3 linked regions of the Yarrowia lipolytica genome follow. The main gene of each other region encodes a partner of the protein of the gene in region 2 in a complex. Links are inferred from orthologs where the notes say so. Each region holds a gene or a part of one and is shown on either strand. Other genes may lie near its edges.

The links. The genes of interacting proteins can lie anywhere in the genome.
Region 1: the proteins of YALI1_B22020g (region 2) and YALI1_F10688g are in contact, whole or in part, in a crystal structure (PDB 1SXJ), measured with the Saccharomyces cerevisiae proteins. The link is inferred for Yarrowia lipolytica from reciprocal best matches to the Saccharomyces cerevisiae genes RFC1 and RFC4. Residues at the interface, in NP_014860.1 of Saccharomyces cerevisiae: Asp295, Lys296, Leu297, Val300, Pro355, Gly356, Thr360, His364, Glu376, Asn378, Ala379, Ser380, Asp381, Val382, Asp424, Glu425, Asp427, Gly428, Ser430, Gly432, Asp433, Asn456, Asp513, Arg515, Gln516, Asn519, Thr526, Thr527, Thr528, Lys529; in NP_014547.1 of Saccharomyces cerevisiae: Glu28, Thr29, Arg32, Gln35, Ile36, Asp39, Asn41, Met42, Pro43, His44, Met50, Ile86, Arg90, Lys94, Pro105, Gly106, His108, Gly122, Gln125, Ala126, Arg128, Arg129, Thr130, Glu132, Ser135, Asn136, Arg139, Asn145, Ser147, Asn148.
Region 3: the proteins of YALI1_B22020g (region 2) and YALI1_A02461g are in contact, whole or in part, in a crystal structure (PDB 1SXJ), measured with the Saccharomyces cerevisiae proteins. The link is inferred for Yarrowia lipolytica from reciprocal best matches to the Saccharomyces cerevisiae genes RFC1 and RFC3. Residues at the interface, in NP_014860.1 of Saccharomyces cerevisiae: Glu635, Gln636, Trp638, Ser639; in NP_014109.1 of Saccharomyces cerevisiae: Asp120, Met122, Thr123, Asn124, Ala125, Gln127, His151, Lys152, Leu153, Pro155.

What each region holds. Positions count from the first base shown.
Region 1 is NC_090775.1:1,064,980-1,070,397, forward strand, and holds YALI1_F10688g (uncharacterized protein), read left to right. Parts: upstream 1-3,899; coding exon 3,900-4,901; downstream 4,902-5,418. Other genes in the region: YALI1_F10652g (uncharacterized protein), read right to left, coding at 1-278; YALI1_F10660g (uncharacterized protein), read right to left, coding at 311-1,072; YALI1_F10671g (uncharacterized protein), read left to right, coding at 2,172-3,257. UniProt on the Saccharomyces cerevisiae protein: Component of ATP-dependent clamp loader (RFC and RFC-like) complexes for DNA clamps, such as the POL30/PCNA homotrimer and the checkpoint clamp DDC1:MEC3:RAD17 complex.
Region 2 is NC_090771.1:2,198,294-2,207,666, reverse strand, and holds YALI1_B22020g (uncharacterized protein), read right to left. Parts: upstream 5,570-9,373; coding exon 5,501-5,569; intron 5,444-5,500; coding exon 2,654-5,443; downstream 1-2,653. Other genes in the region: YALI1_B22060g (uncharacterized protein), read right to left, coding at 1,027-1,572; YALI1_B22055g (uncharacterized protein), read left to right, coding at 2,083-2,397; YALI1_B22015g (uncharacterized protein), read left to right, coding at 6,074-8,425; YALI1_B21966g (uncharacterized protein), read right to left, coding at 8,905-9,373. UniProt on the Saccharomyces cerevisiae protein: Component of the ATP-dependent clamp loader RFC complex for the POL30/PCNA homotrimer DNA clamp.
Region 3 is NC_090770.1:244,578-250,003, forward strand, and holds YALI1_A02461g (uncharacterized protein), read right to left. Parts: upstream 1,595-5,426; coding exon 518-1,594; downstream 1-517. Other genes in the region: YALI1_A02470g (uncharacterized protein), read left to right, coding at 2,483-4,405; YALI1_A02499g (uncharacterized protein), read left to right, coding at 5,327-5,426. UniProt on the Saccharomyces cerevisiae protein: Component of ATP-dependent clamp loader (RFC and RFC-like) complexes for DNA clamps, such as the POL30/PCNA homotrimer and the checkpoint clamp DDC1:MEC3:RAD17 complex.

The DNA of each region.
Region 1 (5,418 bases), on a different chromosome or scaffold from region 2:
ATCTCGACATGCTTGAAGCTCAACTTTTTGATCTTATCAAGGTACTCGTTGACAGCCCGAATGACAGGGGGATGGGGAGTAACGTAGCCGTCGTCAGCGTAGTAGCCCACTCTTAGCTTCTTCTTTTGAAATAGAGCTGGATTCCACATAGACCGTTCAGTGAAGGGGTCGTATCTCCAGACTTCTGCGTCCGACATGACCTTCATGAATAACTCCAGCAGCTTCGGAGATGAAGTCAAGGGCCCAATACATGCCTTGATCGAGTCTGCTCCATGCATAACATAATCACAGCCCGTGTTTGTAATTCTTCCTACAGACGGACGAAGACCATAGACACCACAGCAAGCAGCTGGACCTCGAATTGAGCCTCCAATGTCAGTTCCGAGACCCAAAACAGACGCTCCAAGACCGACGATGGCTCCTTCACCCGAGGATGAGCCTCCAGACGTGAGATCTCGGTTATAGGGGTTGTAAGTCTTTCCATGGAGAGGCGACTCTGATTCCAGCGACATGAGAAATTGGGGACCGGTATTCGACAGTAAGGGTTAGCTCCGGCTTTGTAGAGTACTTTAAGGATGATAGCATTGTCCGGAGTGATGTTGTTGATCTTGGAAGACACGGAAAAGTGGCAGGTTCGGCCTTTGAAGCCCACCATCTCCTTGACGGACACGGGAAGTCCATGTAGAGGACCCACGGGCTTTCCTGTGGATTTTAGATAGTCATCAAGTTTCTGAGCAGTTTCCAGTGCCTCTCGAGGAAGCAGCTCCGTCAGGCAGTTTGTGAGAGTCTGGGCAATAACAGCAGCTCTTAGGAACGCTCCTGCGACAGCCACAGCCGATACCTTGGCCTTAGCAAGCTGATCGAGCAGCTCGATTGGGTCCGAATTGATGATAGCTGCATCGTCATGGGCCAGCATCTCCTGGAACACGGGGATGGAGTTCTTGGGCAACTTTGCGGGAACTTCATGATGTCTCGAGTCCTCGGGTGGAGGAAACACTTTGTCCAGCTCTGCAATGGAATCGTCTCTGATCTTGAGGAACTTCTCTCTAGCAATTTCGAATGTGAGAACCATGGTGAAGGTTGCAATCAGGTTTTGTCGACGATAGTTGGCCAACACCGTCGATGCCACTCCAAGGCATTATATATTGGCTTTTGTTATCATACGGTATCTCCGCACTCGAGCCGCAGCGGGAGTTTAATATGCGACGCGCAAGGTGGGGGAAGACTAGAGGGTGGAGCGGCTTGGAACTCATATGAAGAGTTGAAACAGATAAGGAACGTTTAAATACCCCGTTACGCAACGGCTGCTTTTCATCCTATGTGGGTTTTCGGTCGATAATTGCCTACAATTGCTCTCTTCTTCTCGGAGGGGTGCTCTCATTCAGGAAACTTTCCACGCCCTTATCAGCCTACATGCGTCTGACACCCCCGCTCAACGAAAACGATATGTACGTAGATCCATGTTCCCCGGAGTTTAGATATAGGTGTTGCAGTGAATTTAGGGGGTGTGATATACAGGTATAAAAGGTGCCACCGCCCCCACCCCTGCTCCTATCCCCAGTACATACAGCTTCTCTGAGACTATATCAACTTCCATGTTCAATTAAATCGCCAATTATACTTCGGTAAATGTCTCAAGTAATTACTTAACAAATGACTCTCAAACTGCCTTCTTTTGTTATTCTTTCACAGCAAAGTTATAATTAAATGAATGTATATGCAGAAAAAAAAAAAAAAACTTTTGTCAGACGACAAACACATATAGAGACAATACTAGTCATGGGATGAGTTCGTTACCAGTCTGCAACACTTCCTGCTGTCTCATTTTTCAATCCGTAGGCGATAATACAAAATTCCAAGAAATTCCATCTATTTCCACCATTGCCACCCATGCAGGTCAGGCATCAAAACTCTGATCAGTTAGCGAGGGGAGATATTTGGGTGTTGGTATCGAAGCCTTCCGTAGTTCAAATCTGGTAATTGGCAACTTCAAAACGTCCATGCGACTCCTTAGACTTGATTCAAGTTTTCACCCACTCAATAGGATTCATATTAACGTATTTATTGACACTACCTTCTCCTTCCGGGTCACGTGCCATGAACCCAAAAAATATATTTTCAAAATTAGACTGCGATAAATCCAAGTTTTCCAGACAACTACAACACACACAATGTCTTCCGAATTCCAAGAACTAATCGAATTTCTGCACTCCGACCACCCTGCCGTCAAGCAGGTTGCTCTACAGTCCCTCGTGGGCTACTCACAGGGCCATGCCGAGCAGTTCAAGGCCAACGACTACCAGGGAGTCAAGGATCTGGTGGCCACCGTCATGCTGGGCACCCCCAGAGTCAATGTGGAGAACGCTCTGACCATTCTCATCAACCTATGCGATGACAGAGACATTCTCGACATGCTGGCGTCCAACTCCATGTTCGTAGCCATGATTGCCTGCGAGATTTGCGATCTCGAGAACAAGCAGGCCGATCTGTGCTGTATGCTGCTAGCCAACCTGGCCAAGGACGACCACATTGTGTCCATCTTCGACGCCACCAAGAAGCTCAAGAACACGGAGGTGTTCAAGTCGGAAAAGCTCATCGATTCGCTCATGGACTGCTTTGTCAAGGGCGCTACCGGCAAGCTCAACCTCTTCTCCAACTTCGACTACCTGGCCTTTTTCTTTGCCGATCTGTCGCGATTCCGACGAGGTCGAGACTACTTTGTCACTGAGCAGCCCTACGATGGTCTGTTCCCCATCCAGAAGCTGCTGCCCTTCACCGAGTTTGTGGACTCGCGAATCCGACGAGAAGGTGTTGCTTCTACAATCAAAAACTCGCTGTTTGACACCGACAAGCACTCCAAGTTTGTGCTTGACCCCGAAATCAACCTGCTGCCCTTCATCATGCTGCCCCTGGCGGGCCCTGAGGACCTAGAGGACCCCGAAGAGATCTTTGATCTGCCCGAAGAGCTGCAGCTGCTGACGCCCGACAAGCGACGAGAGGAGGATCTCGACATCATGTGCACTCATCTGGAGTCTCTGCTGCTGCTGACCACTTCGCGGGAGATGCGAGAGTACATGCGAACCAAATCCGTCTACCCTATTGTTCGAGAGCTGCATAAGAACCACGACGACCAGACCATCCAGGAGCGATGCGACCGAGTTGTGCAGATGCTCATGCGGGACGAGCCCAAGGAGGCTGGAGATGATGCCAAGGTGAAGGAGGTTGACTCTGATGATGAGGTTGTCGAGGTGATTTAATCATAAACGAAGCGAGTGATAATTGCCCGGAACACGAGCGGGGCGAATGGTCTGTTCGGAGGTTTTACATCTAATCATGTCACCAGATGGCGCAGATCGAACAGTTGTCCGCACCTCTGGTCCCACAATACACATCAACTGGAGCCAGGGCTCATATGTATAGAAGCAGTTAATGAAATGTATTTGTATGAATAATTGAGAGATGATAGAATGATGTGATTGTGGATAGTGGTTGGTGTTTCTGTGTGTCATCATTGCGCAGAGTGGAGTGTAATAATTACTACTGTATGACCATCGAGGAAGCTGCAGCGGTATATTCAATTAGTTGACTTCACTCAACAAACAACTGAACTAGACTAACAGAACAAGCACCACAAGTGTCGGCCAAACAGTGCCACTTTTTTTTACTAGAACCAAATTTGAAAAGAGCAGTATATTTTCCGCTGTCAAATTAATCATTTCCTATTATCTTCCAGCGACAATTTATTAGCGAAACCTGATTGTATCCAGCACTCCAACTACCCTACAAACCCTCGTGCATCGCGAACTCAATTAATACACGTCTGCCGAAATTACAGTAATCAAGTGCTAAAAAATCACGTCCAACACGACACATCACAGCACACACTAATATTACACAACATGAGTGAAGCCGGACCATCGAAAAAGCGAAAGGGAGAGCCCGAGTTCGAGCTGCCCTGGGTTGAAAAGTACAGACCCATGTATCTCGACGACGTTGTGGGTCATACAGAAACCGTTGAACGACTTAAGATCATGGCCAAGGACGGAAACATTCCCAACTTGTTGATTTCCGGTCTCCCCGGTATTGGAAAGACCACCTCCGTGCATTGTCTTGCGCGTACTCTTCTCGGTCCCCAGCTGTACAAAGACGCTGTTCTGGAGCTCAATGCTTCAGATGATCGAGGTATCGAGGTGGTTCGAGGTAAGATCAAGAACTTTGCCCAGAAGAAAGTGACCATGCCTCCTGGTAAACACAAGATCATCATTCTGGATGAGGCCGACAGTATGACTGCTGGTGCCCAAAATGCGCTCAAACGAACCATGGAGTTGTACTCTGATACTACTCGATTCGCCTTTGCCTGCAACCAGAGCAACAAAATCATTGAGGCCATTCAGTCGCGATGCGCCATTCTTCGATTTGGCCGACTCTCTAATGAACAGGTGCTCGAGCGACTGCTGCACATTGTCGAGGCTGAAAACGTGCAGTGCTCAGACGACGGCCTGTCTGCTCTCATTTTCTCGGCGGAGGGAGATATGCGTCAGGCGATCAATAACTTGCAGGGAACTGTGTCTGGATTCGGATTCGTCAACTCTTCCAACGTTTGGAAGGTGGTGGACTCCCCCCATCCCGTGGTCGTCAAATCCATGTTGGATGCCTGCAGCAAGGGTGAGGTGACCGAGGCATGCGAGTCGCTCAAGCAGCTGTGGACCAAGGGATACAGCGCCCAGGATATCATCTCCACAATGTTCCGAGTCACCAAGACACTGGAGGTGCCCGAGGCGCTACGGCTGGAGTACATTAAGGAGATTGGCTTCACTCACATGAGAATCCTCGAAGGAATCACCACATATCTGCAGTTAGCAGGCTGCGTCGCCAGATTGTGTGGTATTCAGGTCAAGTGAGAGCTGAAATCAAGTCCACACAAGGCGGCCGATATTAAAAAAAGTCTCCAGAAGACCTGTCTCAACCCGTAGACAGTAATCCGTATCTATAAAATGCATTATAAAACCGAAAAGTGTGCAAGAGGTAGCGGTCTATACATGCCTTGTACACTATACTTTCACAATTCATGGACTCAAGCGCCTAGAGTATTGTACATACAGTAGTAGAAGTACAGTACTCACACGCGCACATATCTAGCCACATCAGGTTCTCGCTGAATATTAGTGAGACATATCTGAGCTTCGAGACAGCAGAAAGAACTCTGACACCGATAATCCCAACATAGTGTCCCCTGACCGAACCTATAGAGACGCAGATATAGTCCTGACACGTTCTTGAGACGCGTACAAGCTACGTTAGCTACTGCTTTGTGCTTGCTATCTTACTCATTCTGGTCCGACAGCAACTCCCGGGCCAGCAACTAATGCAACTTCAACTAAATACATTTTAAATATACTCCGAGTGAGCGTGTTACCC
Region 2 (9,373 bases):
AACGTACATGGCAGCAGTACGTGCACGCACCTCTAGTCGATCTAAACATGTTGGGGGTATTCTGAGAGACAAGAGGACTCGAACAATGGCGTGTATCACTCATCATGCCATTGTGAGTAGACATACAGTACGTACGAAGAAGTCGCATGTAGCATCTTATTACTGTCAGTGAGTGTACACAAGGTTTTTTTTTTTTTTTGTGCCGAGCTACTGTTTGCAGTATTGTAGTATTGTAGCAGATTACCACAAATGGAAGCATTTCAATACATGGAAAAGATAATCATAGTCACAATCAGCATGAAATAACTACTTGTAGATTTAGTAATTACATAATGCCATACTTTCTCAATTGCAGTAGCTACTTGTAGCACAATATTGCTCCTTAATATGTCTGTACTCCTTCCGCCATCTGAGTAAAGCAGTAAGGGACCAGGTGGTTGGCACACGGTACAGTAGGACAGCATGGTTGGAGAGCAAGTGTAGGAATATCACTACAATTGTATGAGTTAAACAGCCAAATGGTCCCGTCTGTGAAATGGAGATCTGAGGGATATGTCAGGGGTCGCCTCCCACTTCGACATGAAGATGCATAGGCTACTCGGACCATGACGTTCGAATATACTGTAGGATGATGATGGACAAATAGTAGATACCACTTATACGGCTGGAAACTGCGACAAAATAAACACACCACTCAGTCTTTTGGACTCTTGGTATGCTTGCCGGAGCTACAGTAGCTGCGGCACTTGCACTTGCTGTGGTACCAGTAGTTGTACTAAGACTATACCATTGATCTACTGTACATACCATACTGTAGATGTGGTTGTGTAGGTGCTGTGGGAGTGATTTGCACGTCTGTGAGTTGTTTACACACGATATTGCAATTCTAAAAGTACGTCGACATATCCATCACGTCGTCCATATCAATCTTTAGTCTATATACAAGTGAGCCCCTGATCCACGAACACTCGTCTCACACCCACAATGCCAGAGTAGCCGCTTATATTTCGCCCCACTAAAAGCACGCTATCGTCGCTCCCAAATATCCTCGGAAGAACCGCCGGTCATCTTCTCAGCCAGCTGCTTCATGTAGAACTGCTTTATTTTGGCCTTCTTGATCTCCTCGGGATCCAGCTTGACGCCCATGCAAAACTTCCACTTGTCCTTGGGCTTATCGCAGTAATTTAGAGAGCCGAACCGGTACAAGTTTCGCACCTGGCCGCCCACAGAGTAACATGCCACCACCTCGTTGAACGCCTCCCAACACGACATTTCCTCGGGGAAATAGACACGCATGTTCCTGGGTCCCTCCGGCAAAGTCGGCACCTCTAACGGATCTTTTTCGGTCTTTTTAGAGCTCTGCTCCTCAGAAGACACCTTCTTGGGCTTTGGCTTATAGACACCCAGCAGCTCCGAGGCTTTGACTCCAAACATGGCCTCGTAGTCATCGTCGTCTGATTTGGCCTTTGCCTGAGCAGCAGCTGCTTCGGCAGGCGCGGAAGTCGACACCTGCTCCTGAACGGCAGCCGTGGCAGGCTCCTCCTTGGGATTCCTGTTCCAGAACATTCCCATAGTGTGTGATGTGTGTGGTGTCGGAATTACTCGTGAAATGAAATTGAATTTCCGTGTAAGATGATTGAACTCTATACTGTACAGTACATTTTGAAATACTGTAGGGCTGCTTGCAAGTTTGGTCTGGGTGTTTGAAATGATAAGAATGACGTGGAATGCGACTATTTCTAATAGGATGAGGCACAGGCTGACTTACAGTAGTTGGCTCAACGCAGTACTTGTACAAGCAAACCCACAACATCAAAGAGATAGACATCCTCTCCAGCTCCCAACCCTAACCTGGCTTTGAAACTGGTACAATACCTGTTGTAACGGTTTTGAAGAGAGAAGAATTAATGTCTAGCTATGTTTATGGGATCTGAATCGTTAACCAGCGGTGGCTTCACTAATATCATCCTGTTTTCTTACGTGACATATTCACCCTCGACAATTCCAAACAGCACCAACTTAATTAACAGCATGCATATGGGTAAGCTCACCACCACAGGCATGTTGACCCAGTGATTCACCATGGAGAAAACCGTCAAGGCTGCGGAAAACCTGATCGACGCCCAGACAGACTACACAGTCACGTGGCTAGACTCGCTGGAGGTGGTGAATCGCAAACAGACACACAAGTACAAGCAACTTGCCGAGTCGACCAAGGGCCTCGAAAACGATAGAGAGTACCTCGAAGGTCTGAACAACGAGAACGCAAGGTACGTGGACCAGCTCAAACAGGTCCGTGGCCACCTCGATACTCTGGAGAAGCTAGTTGGAGAGGTGGACGAGTGGTCCAAGGAGCTGGAGGTTAAAGTGAGGCGAATGCAACAAGAGAGGAGTTAATCGCTACGACACCAAGACGCGATTACGGACCTTTTGACATGTCTTTTGACACGCCATCTTTCATATTGCCAGAATCTGTCTCTGATTTTGAGTACTGCAGCGAATATCAGACAGCATACCCCCTACAAGTTATGACACCACAACACGATTAATGATTAACGAATAACGACAATAGAATACGCTCAAAAATTTCATTAGGATGTATTTCATATAAATCAATTGCGTCTAAATACATACACAGTAGTAACAGGACAGGCTATTTTTTCTTAGCAGCAGCCTTCTTGGGGGCAGCTTTCTTGGCAGGTGTCTTCTTGGGAGCAGCCTTCTTAGGAGCAGCCTTCTTTTTGGGCTGATTGATGTACTTGTCCTTCGAAATGTCTTCTTCATCCTCTTCCTCTTCCTTCTCCACCTCCTCATTAACCACGTCTCCCGAATCAGGTTGGGCCTTAGACGCCTTCATGTCCATGGCAGTTCCAGACTTTATGTAGGGCACGGGATGCGACGAAGTGTTATATTTTCGAGTGAAGGCAGATTTGGTCTGAGTCTCGAGCTTCTTCATACGCTCTTCTCCACTGTCAGGACCAACACCCATCTCCATGATAGCATCCCAATCCTCTCGGGTGAGATAATACGAGTCCATGAAATCGATCACCTCAGGAACTCCCTCTGCCTTCTTAGCCAAAAGTGGGTCAAGAAGCTTTCGAGTCATCAAAGGCAAGTACTGCTGTCTCAGCTCTCGAGAGTTGCCCGAAGTCTTGTATCCAGCATGACTCTGAAGCTCCTGGAGAGCTCGAAGATGCTTTCCTCCCTTGGAGTTCTGACCCAGCCAGGACGTGAAGTTGAATCGTCCTCGGGCCTGGCCGGCAACGAAAGAAGCAGGCCTAACCGCACTCAGGAACCCATGCAAAGGCATCAGAGACCAGTGCTGCTGGGAGCCATGAATCATCTTATCAACAAGATCACCATCAGATATGGACTCAGCAGCAGCCAACGTCTTCCTCAAACGCTCCTTGTTGTCGCCTCCTCCACTAGGCTGCACGTTGAGATAGTTTTCCTGGATCATGAGAGGAACAAAGTCGTGATCGTTGAAATAAAGCTCAATCTTGTCATTGAGAGTGGCCTTGGAGGAAGGAGCCCATAGGCCTCCGGAAAGCAGCTTTCCAGTGATATCAAAGGGACTCAGAACCACATTCTTCTCCCATGACTGGGTCATCTTCTTACCAGACTCAATATCAAGACCACCCTCATTCTGGTTTCGAGCATAAGTCGACAGCAAGTTGATGATCTGACGAATATCTGAGTTGCAGCCAGCAATGACCTGCTCCAAAACAGGAGCTGAAATTTTGATCTTCTCCTGATGACAGATGGTCATCATTCGTGCTAGGATAGCCTTGGGGTCCATTCGTCGGAAAGGAATGTCCAGAGTCACTCTGTCAAATGGACGCATCTTAGGAAGACCCTTGTCGTTACAGATGAGGATGATTGGCACCTCAGTAGTTCGACACAGGGCAGCCATCTGGCCCACACCTCCTCGATCACCAGCAGACATACCATCGACCTCGTCCATGATCATACAGATCTTCTTCTCTTTGGAAGACTTCGCTGAGCTCATGAAACCCATGATGGAGGTGTTTGTGAGAGCTGAAGAAACGTCCTGAGCAAGCAACTTTTTAGATCGCACATCCGAGGCGTTGTTCTCAATCACATCATAGCCTGCAAGGTTGGCCACCAGATGCGCAGCAGTAGTCTTACCGATTCCAGGGGGACCAGACAGCAGAACAGCACGATAAATGCCAAATCCATCTTTTCCAGGCTGCTTGAATCCATGTTTGGCATTGTCGTGCCAGTTGTTGAGCCAGTTTTGTAGCTTGGTCACCGCTCCCTTGTTTCCGCAAACGTGATTCAGGTTGTTGGGGGCGTATTTGACTGTCCACAGCTGGTCATCCATAGACACAGCCCGAGGGGCTCCAGAAGCGTCCGCCTTCTTGGATGCAGCTTTCTCCTTCTTTTCTCGCGCCGCCATCTCAGCAGCCATCTTTGCGCTCTCAGCAGCAATCTTGTCGGCCTCTTCTGCCTGCTTAGCTAGCGCCTTTTCAGCAGCAGCACCCCCTCCACCGTCAGCAGGCATGAGTCTGAGCAGTTCCAAGAAACCAGCTTCATCCAGAGCCTTGGTTCTGAGCTTCTTGATCTGCTCAATCTTCTTGGGTCCGGCATCTTCTCCCAGAACAACACAGTTGGTCTTACCAGAAATGGAAGAAGTGACCTTACCTCCGTACTTTTTGACTGCGGCCTGACCCTCTTCTCGCGACAAGTTGGGCATGGTGCCAGTGAAAACGAACGTGAGGCCCACCAGACAGTTTTCGGCCGCCTCAGGAAGCTCCACTGCTCCTCCTCCTTCTCCACTTCCAGTGGCCGTGTTCTTGGCCAGATGCTCTCGGAAGTTGAACTTCTTCCCCTCCTCGACCTCGGGAAGCTCGGCGTCGGGTAATTGCGCTAGTACAGACTCTGCTGTAGCCCCTCCAGGTGCGGATCGAGCATTGGGGGCGGCCGTTGGAGCAGCCTTGGGCTTGGGGGCAGCCTTTTTAGGAGCACGCTTGATTTGCTCGAGATCGTCGTCATCGAGATCGTCATAGTCAATGATTGGGCCCTTATTTGATACGCTTGCCTTGGGAGGTGGCTTCTTGACCACATTGTCGTCCTCATCAATCTCAATCACATCGTCATCCTTGACTGGCCCCGATCGTCGTGTTCGTCGCTGCACAGGTTTCACGGGCAAATCATCGTCGTCCACAAACCCGTCGTCGCTGTCCATATCTATCTCATAAGGGGCCTCTCCATCTTCGCTGTCAGAATCGTCAATCTGGATTGTCCGCTTTTTGGGAGCAGGTTTGGCAGGAGACTTGGTCTTAGCAGTGGGATTGGGCTTTGCGGGAATCTTTGGCTTGACGGGCGACTTCTCGGGCTCGGAATTAATCTCCTGTTTGACCTCCTGTTTGACCTTTTTGGGCTTTCTCTCTTCGTCCACAGACGTGGTGGCTGGCCGTTTCTATGTTAGTGGTTTTTGCGTGAATCAAAACAGATGGGCAGTGCAATTGGTACTCACGTCATTGGACTTGGCCGGCGCCTTGGTCTTTTGGGCTCCAAAGAAACTGCGGATATCTTTGGGAGGCATTTTTTTTGCACTGCGTTCCAGTGGTGATAAATGGAAAGCTTCGTGTTGACGCGTTTTGCAGTGCTGCGGTTGGGAGAGGCGAAAGAAGAGGCAGGGGAGTAATTACAACAGAGAGGTTACTGTATATTGTGACTACAATAAGTGATGAAAAATAATCACAGGTAAGAGGTTGTTGAAGCAGTTTATCTATGCAATTTAATGATCGTGAAATGAGTTGTTCTTGTATTGTGGGCAATTATTGTACCCACATGCTGGCTTGCTGCGTGTGATGGCAGGTGGACTTCGTAAGGTGAACAATGTAATAACAGATTAAAGAACAGATTTGGATTATATGACTATTAGTGATCAATTGTAATGGCTTGATGGTCATAAAATCTGTTCACATTGACACTTCAGCCAAGATTCATCAAGTTATAACCCTCTACAGTATGTACTCGTACTTCTACTGCAACACTCACTCCCTCACCCTCCTCCTAACGTCAATCACATGACTGTGCGTCATTAATGCATCCAGAGTTTATTGGAAAAATATGTCCATGCAGAAATAAATTATCCACCCTATTTCAAACCAGCACGCAAATAACACACACAAAAATGGTCAAGGGAAAAGTGACCAAACCGGTCAAGAAGGCTACTAAGTCCAAACAATCGGCTGCCATGATTTCCAAAGTAAAGGACGACTTTGTCATGACTCTAGATTCCGACGGTGAAGATCTGGAGGAGGAGAGTGCAGACGAGAAGGAAGAGGTGGAGGAGAAGCCTGTCAAGCTGACAAAGAAGCAGAAGAAGCAAAAACTCAGTGAAGCCGACGAGGAGCTACTGGAGCGAGAAAAGCAGGCTGCCAAGGCCGGCATCAACCCCGACTTCCAGTTTTCGCTGGACGGATTTGCTGCCACCTCTGAAGGTCTGGACGGCTGGAACTTTGAGGTGTCCAAGGACGACAACAAGGTCCAGAAGCGAGAAGTTGATTTGGACAGCATTATCAAGAGAAAAGGAGGCCTTCTGGACGAGGACGAGGACGAGGACGAGGCCGAGACAGACGTTAAGATGGAGGAGAACGAAGATGATCTGGCCATTGATGGTTTCGGAGGAGGAGTCCAGCCCGGAAAGGACATGGATGAGCCTGAGGACGAGGACGAGGAGAACAAAGAAGAGGTTGAGAATGAAGAGGAGGAGGACTCTGATGGAAGCGACTCCGAGGCTGAGGAGTGTATGCACCCCGATGATTTGGTTTTGGATGACCATAAAGGCCCTGCCATCGACGAGGGACCCCAGGACACTGCCGAGGAGATGGCTGCATTCTACGCTCCCGAGGAGGAGAACAACGATAAGACTGAGTCTGTGCACAAAACCTTTCAGACTCTGAATCTGTCTAGACCCGTCATGAAGGGTATTTCTGCTCTGGGATACCAGGCCCCCACTCCGATTCAGAGCAGAACCATCCCCATTGCTCTCATGGGCAAGGATCTGGTTGCTGGTGCCGTCACTGGTTCTGGTAAGACTGCTGCGTACATCATTCCTGTTTTGGAGCGTCTTCTCTACAAGTCCTCCAAGGTCGCAGCCACTAAGGTTGTGGTTCTGACTCCCACTCGAGAGCTGTCCATTCAGGTCGCCGATGTTGGTAAGAAGCTCGCACAGTATGTTTCTGGCGTGCGATTCGGTCTGGCTGTCGGTGGTCTGAACCTTCGAGTTCAGGAGCAGGAGCTCAAGACGCGACCCGAGGTTGTCATTGCTACCCCCGGTCGATTTATTGATCATGTTCGAAACTCTCCCTCGTTCAACGTTGACGATGTCGAGATTCTGGTGATTGATGAGGCTGATCGAATGCTGGAGGAGGGTTTCCAACAGGAACTGACCGAGATTCTGACACTGCTTCCCAAGAAGCGTCAGACTCTGCTTTTCTCTGCCACTATGAATTCGTCCATTTCGTCGCTTATTCAGCTGTCTCTTTCTCGGCCCGTTCGAGTCATGATCAACCCTCCCAAGCAGGCCGCTTCTGGTCTGGTGCAAGAGTTTGTTCGAATCCGTAAGCGAGACCATCTCAAGCCCGCTCTGCTGGCCTCCATCCTCAAGAAGATGGACAAGGAGCAGCGAACCATTATTTTCGTGGCCCGAAAAGAGACTGCGCATCGTCTTCGAATCATGCTGGGTCTGCTCGGAGTCCGAATTGGAGAACTGCACGGAGCTCTGTCTCAGGAGCAGCGTCTGCAGTCCATCACAGCATTCAAAAAACTGGAGGTGCCCATTCTGGTCTGTACCGATCTGGCTTCCCGAGGTCTGGATATCCCCAAGATCGAGTGTGTCGTCAACTACGACATGCCCCAGACCCATGCTGTCTACCTGCATCGAGTTGGACGAACTGCTCGAGCAGGACGAGAAGGTCGATCCATCACTCTGGTCGGGGAGGCTGCTGCTGACAGAGCCATTGTCCGCGAGGCTATCAAGTCTGTATCTGAGAGTAAACAGGGCAAGGCCGTGGGCCGAAACGTGGACTGGCCTGAGGTCGAGAAGCTATACTCCAAGATCGAGGAGAAGGGTGACATTGTCAACGAGATTCTGGCTGAGGAGAAGGAGGAGAAGGCCATGCTGCAGGCCGAGATGGAGGTGCGAAAGGGAGAGAACCTTCTCAAGTACGAGAAGGAGATTGCATCCCGACCTCGGCGAACTTGGTTCCAGAATGCCCAAGAGAAGAAGGCTGATGAGACCTCGGACAAACGAAATCTACTAGCCAGCAACAAGGACAAGATGAAGAAGAAGAAAGACAACGAGGAGGTCCGAATGTACAAGAAGACCAAGACCGATCGAAAGGAGGCCTCTAAGCGAGGTAAGCCCAAGGGAAAGGGTAAGCGAAAGTGAAGAAAAGGATGGTATATAGTTGAATTTATTGTATAGATATGCAGTCCGCAGTAATGTGTATTGTCTCGATGTTTGAAGAACCCCAAAACAATGGGAGTCTGTGCTTTTTGTTTCCTGTCCTATACAACCATACTGTTGACGTTTACAGCAGACAAATTGAGCCCTTTGCGGGTATTAATACTGTAGATGGACTGGAGTCTCAGCTCCGATTTCCAGCAATATGAAAAATCAAAAGGTAGGCATGGGCCTACAATATGTAGTATTACTCTTAGAGAATTTGGGATGGTAGAAGCTGGACAGCCATCTCCAGCAGGTATTGACCTGAAGTATAACTTAAGCCGACAGTCTACTGTACATACTCTGGATGACCTTTCAAAATAATGTCATTCAACGCACCACCATAGGCTTATACAAGACGAGAACGCAAATAAACACAGAAGACATGAGGTTTAACCCTGACGTCATTACATAGGATCGAATTAAACATAGTAGAAGGCGTCAGAAGCCTCAGCCCACATCGGAAGGGCTCCCACTCGGGAACACTCGACGTTATCCTCGGGGCCAATGCCCATGACTTGTGCCCGAAGAGACATTTCGGTGAAAAGAGTCACGTATTGTTTGGTTTTTTCGGTGGACATGGGCTTACCAATGAGACAGTTGATACCATCGACCCACTCGGCGGCCTGGTCCTCAGTGTCCACGTAGAATACAAGCATGGGGGTGGGGCTCTGGCCATAGATTGACACCTTATGGTGCTTGGTTCGAGTCTGCAGTCCAATAACGTCATGGGAAACCGACTGGGTTCGCACGTGGGTCATTTCGACTCGGGTAACACTGGCAAGCTCGATAGTGTTGGGAGCCTCCTCCCAGGTGGGGTTTCGTCCCTGCTTGGCGTACCCGCCCCACTTGAGCACCTTTCGTCCCATAGCCAGAATGACAAAGTAGTAC
Region 3 (5,426 bases), on a different chromosome or scaffold from region 2:
CATAATGTACATTGTCACGTGATTCCCTGCAATCCAGTCGTTATTGGTCTACGAACATGCGGTTTTCTGCTCTGGGTGAGCTGTCTGCTCTTAACCAACATCTAAGTAAACTAGAGCATAGTGTTAACTGTGGTTTAGAGAATACAAATGTGTTCAGCTAAAAATGAGATAAATATAAACCTTTTCTTAACTAATTATCAACAAAACAACAGGGAGGATCGCAACGGACCATCACAAGACGTAACACAAGTAACAGTGCCAATGCTTCATCTACAATTATAGGCGTTTAGAGGTGTACGATAAAGTCCCTATGTAGGTCTGGACAGATTCCCATGGATCTCAAGACATACCAACCTGCCTCATATTCGTCAATTTTTCGATTACTGTATATACGTGTTGAAAACGATCTGAGAGAAACACGTGCATTGGAAGCACACAGCACTGGAAGCACTTATTCTATGATCTGATGACGCCTTTTCTCTGATGACGCTTCTTCTCTGCCAATGTCCGCACTCTCTTAAACCTCCAACTCCATAGAGTCCTTAATAACACCGATAGCAGCACTGGTCTGGATCTTCTCGGAGCCTCCGTTGGCCAACCGGTACTCAATGTCGGCAAGCTTGGACAAGAGTGCAATCTTGGTCTTCTCCTTCAGATTGAGTGCCATCAGTTCAGCGGACAGCTTCTCCAGAATGTCCACCAGTGCCAGACCTCGTTCTCGTTTCAGAGTGGAAACGGTGTCGTAAGCTGTGGTCCAGTCGTCGTTCAGGATCGAAGTCAGAATGGTGTCAATGTCTGCTGGGTCAGGCGACCCAACACACAAGTATACTTGTGAAAGAGTGATTGTGTCCTTTCCAGGGTGCTCCAGACCCGTGTGGCACGCCTGCAGCACGTTGAGAGCCCGTCTCATGTCTCCCTTGGACAGCTCCAGCAGCGCTGCCTTGGCGTCGGGCGCAATCTTGACCTTTTCCGCGTCAATGACCTGCATGATTCGTTTGTCGATGGCTGCCTCGGGCAAAGGGCTGAATCGGAACCGTGTGCATCGCGATAGCAGCGCGGGGTTCAGCTTGTGTGTGTAGTTGGCGAGAATGCAAAATCGGGTATGGGTGGTGTACTGCTCAATGACTCGTCGCAGGGCGTTCTGAGCCACGTTGGTCATGGCATCTGCCTCGTCCAGAATGACCAGTTTGAAGTTGGATCGCGCATTCTCTTCGCCACCACGCTGGAAAATCTGCCGCGAGCTGGCAAACACCTTGATCTGGTCTCGCACCACGTCGATTCCTCTGTCGTCGGACGCGTTGAGCTCCAGCACCATGCTCTTGTAGCTGGGTCCGTAGATCTCTCGCGCCACCGCAAGAATGGTGGACGTTTTTCCGGTACCGGGAGGACCGTAAAACAGCAGATGCGGGAACTTTTTGTTGGCCAGCAACTTTTTGAGCGTGGTCACTACTCCCTCGTGGCCTGTAACATCGTCCAGAGTGTCGGGTCGGTACTTTTCGACCCAGGGCAGATGATCCTTTCCGGGCTTGATGGTGTCGACAGCAATTTCCTTGCCCTTTCGCGATTCCTCGAATCCCTCCATGTTAGCGGACATTTTCTGTGTGTGTAGTAGTGTTGATCTGTGTGTGCTGGACGCGTTTCAATTTGAAGTTTTACATGCATGTGGTGTTTTTTTTTCTTATAATATTTTTAAGCCGGCAGTGAGTAAACGTCAAGTAGGTACTGCAGGTGTCGTTGGGAAATAGTTGAGTATCCTTAACACTGGTCGAAGTTTTAAAACCGAATAGAGACGACGGAAATAGTCGAAAAATATAGGAGAAACATGACGAATCGAATACTTTCAATAAATAACAGATATTTGTCTCATCCCTCACAATCTGTGTCTCAACTCTCACCATATCCGCCCCATTGGTCGAGATAAACGCCTACCCTTTTTTTTCATTCTCGCCCACTATCAGAGACAATCAAGGTTATCGAAATATTGTGACGTCATTGGGTCGGTAAAGCGCGAATATCGGGGACCGAAACGGCGTAGAAAGGTGTCAAAAACTTGTAACGGAGACTCTAGTTGCTCCATCTAACAGCTATCTCTCCCGAACTCCTGCTATCATCGCGTCGTCTACTCGTCAAACTACCGCTGCACACTCTGTTCCCCCAGTATTTTTCATTTTTCAGTCGGAACACCACGTGCGGCTTAAAAACGGTTGTTGGACAAACTCTTTTTTTTCAAGGAGAGATGGTAAGACATGAAGAAGACAGTACAAGTTGGCGTTGAGAATACGACCTTGTGCATCGAATCGTCCGCACGCTCAGTGGCGCGCCTGCTTGAGTAAAAAACACCTCGTCTTTACCACGTTATCGGGCAGCTTTGGGTCCGCCCTGTGTAGAGTTACGTAGTTAGCATCCCCAGTGTTGTACAGCCCGGCACGTGATGTGCACGTAGGCTACCTTGCACCTTTCAGGCTCTTCTCCACCACCCAGCATGCGTCTGTGGATCCTAATTCTGGGGTTGGCGGTCACGTTGGTCCGGGCGTTTCTGGGCAACGTGACCGACGACGACTCGCTCGGCACGCCCGAGCTGCTCCTGCCGTTCCAGCATCTCGGCAACGACCTGTGGAGACGGGTGGTCGAGAACCGGGCCAAGGCTCCGAGCTCGGTGATGACGACCACCTCGAGTACTACGACGCACACAGAGTCCACAAATCTGTTCACGGCGTCAACAGTGCCCAATTACAACCAGCCGACCGGCACCACGCCGGTGGTGGCCACTCCCATCGCCAACAACCAGCCCGTGGACTACGTGATGAAACTGAACGATACACGTATCTACAATCTGACGGACATTCCTGCCAACGCCAAGACGATTTACATCACCGCCAACATCTGTGCCGGTCCACCTAACCTCAACTACAAAAACATGTCCATGGACTACGACTACACAGCCCCTGCATTACTCAAGGCTGGATGGAACCCGCAGAACATTGTCTTTTCCATGGACAACTTCGAGTTTGGATTCGCCAACTTGACGATTGATGTTAGTGCGGTGCAGGTGACGAACCTCTACATTCAGCTGGATTTCAGCAACATGACGTTCGACACCAGTGCACTGACCAAGATCGACTCAGATGTCAACAATGTCGACAAACGTCAAGTAAAACACGCAGAGCTCAAGAAGGACAAGCTCACCAAGCGGAAGGACAAGGATGAGGACAAGGATGAGGACAAGGCGCCCCAAGGAGGCTCGGACGATGGAGATGAGGTGGTTACTGCTGCCCCCAGCGATGTTTCTAATAACGGAGTATCCAAACCTGCGGCTCCCACGTCGGTCGCAGGACAGGCCACTCAGCCTGGAGACTTCACATACTCGCTGGGGGTTTCATGGGAAGCGCCTCTCTATTCCTTCAAGGACACACCGAACCTCTATCTGGTCGACTCCGACTACAACCATGCATTATTTGTGACGGGCAACCTGACAACCGATCCCCAGAACGCCACATCGGACCATTACATTGTTGATATCAAAAACGCCATCTACGACATTACTGCGTTCCCCATGGAGAACGAAATGCAGCTGTGGTGGCTCTCCAACTCGTATTGTGCCATCCAAAAGGGCCCATCTGTGCTCAACTCGGGTAACTGCGATGTTTCGTACACCCGGCGAGGTCTCGGACATTACTACAAGCAGCAATTTTTCATGAAGGGGCTGAACAACTCTACCCCCTACCTTGCTGTGCTAACCAAACCCAACTCAAACACGCCAGGAGGCACCGTTTACGACCAAGTGTGGTTCTCCTCCAAGACATCAGACAATTGCCAGCTGGTCTACGATTTGGACTTTTGCTCTGATGTGGCGTACGCGGTTCCAGGAAACTCGTCCATGGTGGACTCACAGGAACTAGCTAAATTATACGACGATAACGCCTCCAAATGGTGGCAAAACTTCACCTACTCACAACAGATTGTCGCCTGTAACGCGTCGCTGGACTCGAGATACTCCATTCTCAAGTCGTGCGACGACTGTGCTGACTCATACAAGCAGTGGCTTTGTGCCGTGACCATTCCTCGGTGTGCGGACTGGTCCAACAACGCAACCTATTTACAAGAACGGCCTCCTGGCACTTCACGAAACGCCCTCATTGATCGCGTTCTCAAGCCCGGACGGTACAAGGAGATCCTGCCGTGTCTGGACCTGTGTCAGAAGATTGTGCAGGACTGTGACGCTTCTTTGGGCTTCCAGTGTCCCAAACAGCATCGAAATAGAGAGCTCAGTTACGGGCTGCGATCAGACGACGGAGATATCACATGCTCGTATCTTGGAGCAGTCTACTTTCTGGACGGCGCGCGAGCAGTGACGCTGTCCGTCGCCCTGATGGCAGTGTCGTTCCTGTTTGTGGTCTTGTGGTAGCATAGATTTATAGATGGAGTTCAAGACTTCCAGGCAATACATTTAGATATATGGTGTGGGCGACAATGTAGAGCAGGACAAACGAGCCAAAGGGCCGCTGCACGAGTCCGCCTGGGAAGCTACCGTTTGTCGGAGATTGAGAAAGCTGTTCAGGATACCTTAGCGAGTTCTTAGGAACACTATGTGCTATACATACGATAGCTACAGTCTACTATACAGCGACTCGATTCTGTACAGCGACTAGATTCTGTACAGCGACTCGACTTGATTCCGTAAAGCGACTCGCTTCATTCACAGATCCAAGACGGAAAACAATTTCAGATACTTTTATACGACGGTGGAGTACAAGTATATGTGCTGGAACATTTCTTCTCACCGGAGTGCAACCAATCTGTAGACAATGTTCATCTTCGAGTGCAGTATTCGTTCCCAGTGTATGTACTGTACACTGTAGGTACAGTGCCTACTTGTACAGGCCGCCGTACCACAGTGTACAACCTGTAAGACGCTGTACGTAGTCCAATACTCGAATTCTATATCACATAGACATTGACCACCAATCCTTGCTCCATCTCCTTCTCATCTTAGACCTAATCTCAGTGGATACCAAGCAAGCTATTGCTGTATCTGACAGACACAGCAATAGCTCATCTCCTGCAATATTTCTGTGACCAACAGTGCCGATCTGCTCTCAATCCCCCCTCAAATACACCGATACCACCATATCTACGCCTCGCCACCAAAAAATATCAACATATAGGCCCCCTTGAAGTTGCTCGATTTGCCACCCTAAATGCAGTCCCAGCCCATTTTCTCCCATTTCTGGCCTAAATTATCCAAACTCAAAATAATACGAAAGCTGCATAACCACCGATAATCTATCTCGCCCCACACAACTAACACATCTACACCTTCCACGACATGCTGCGACTCACACGAGCCTTTTCCACCTCGCTACGACGGGCCAATCACCAGTTCGGATCGCTCGGACCCATGTCGGCGCCTCCCAGACTACCCAAGG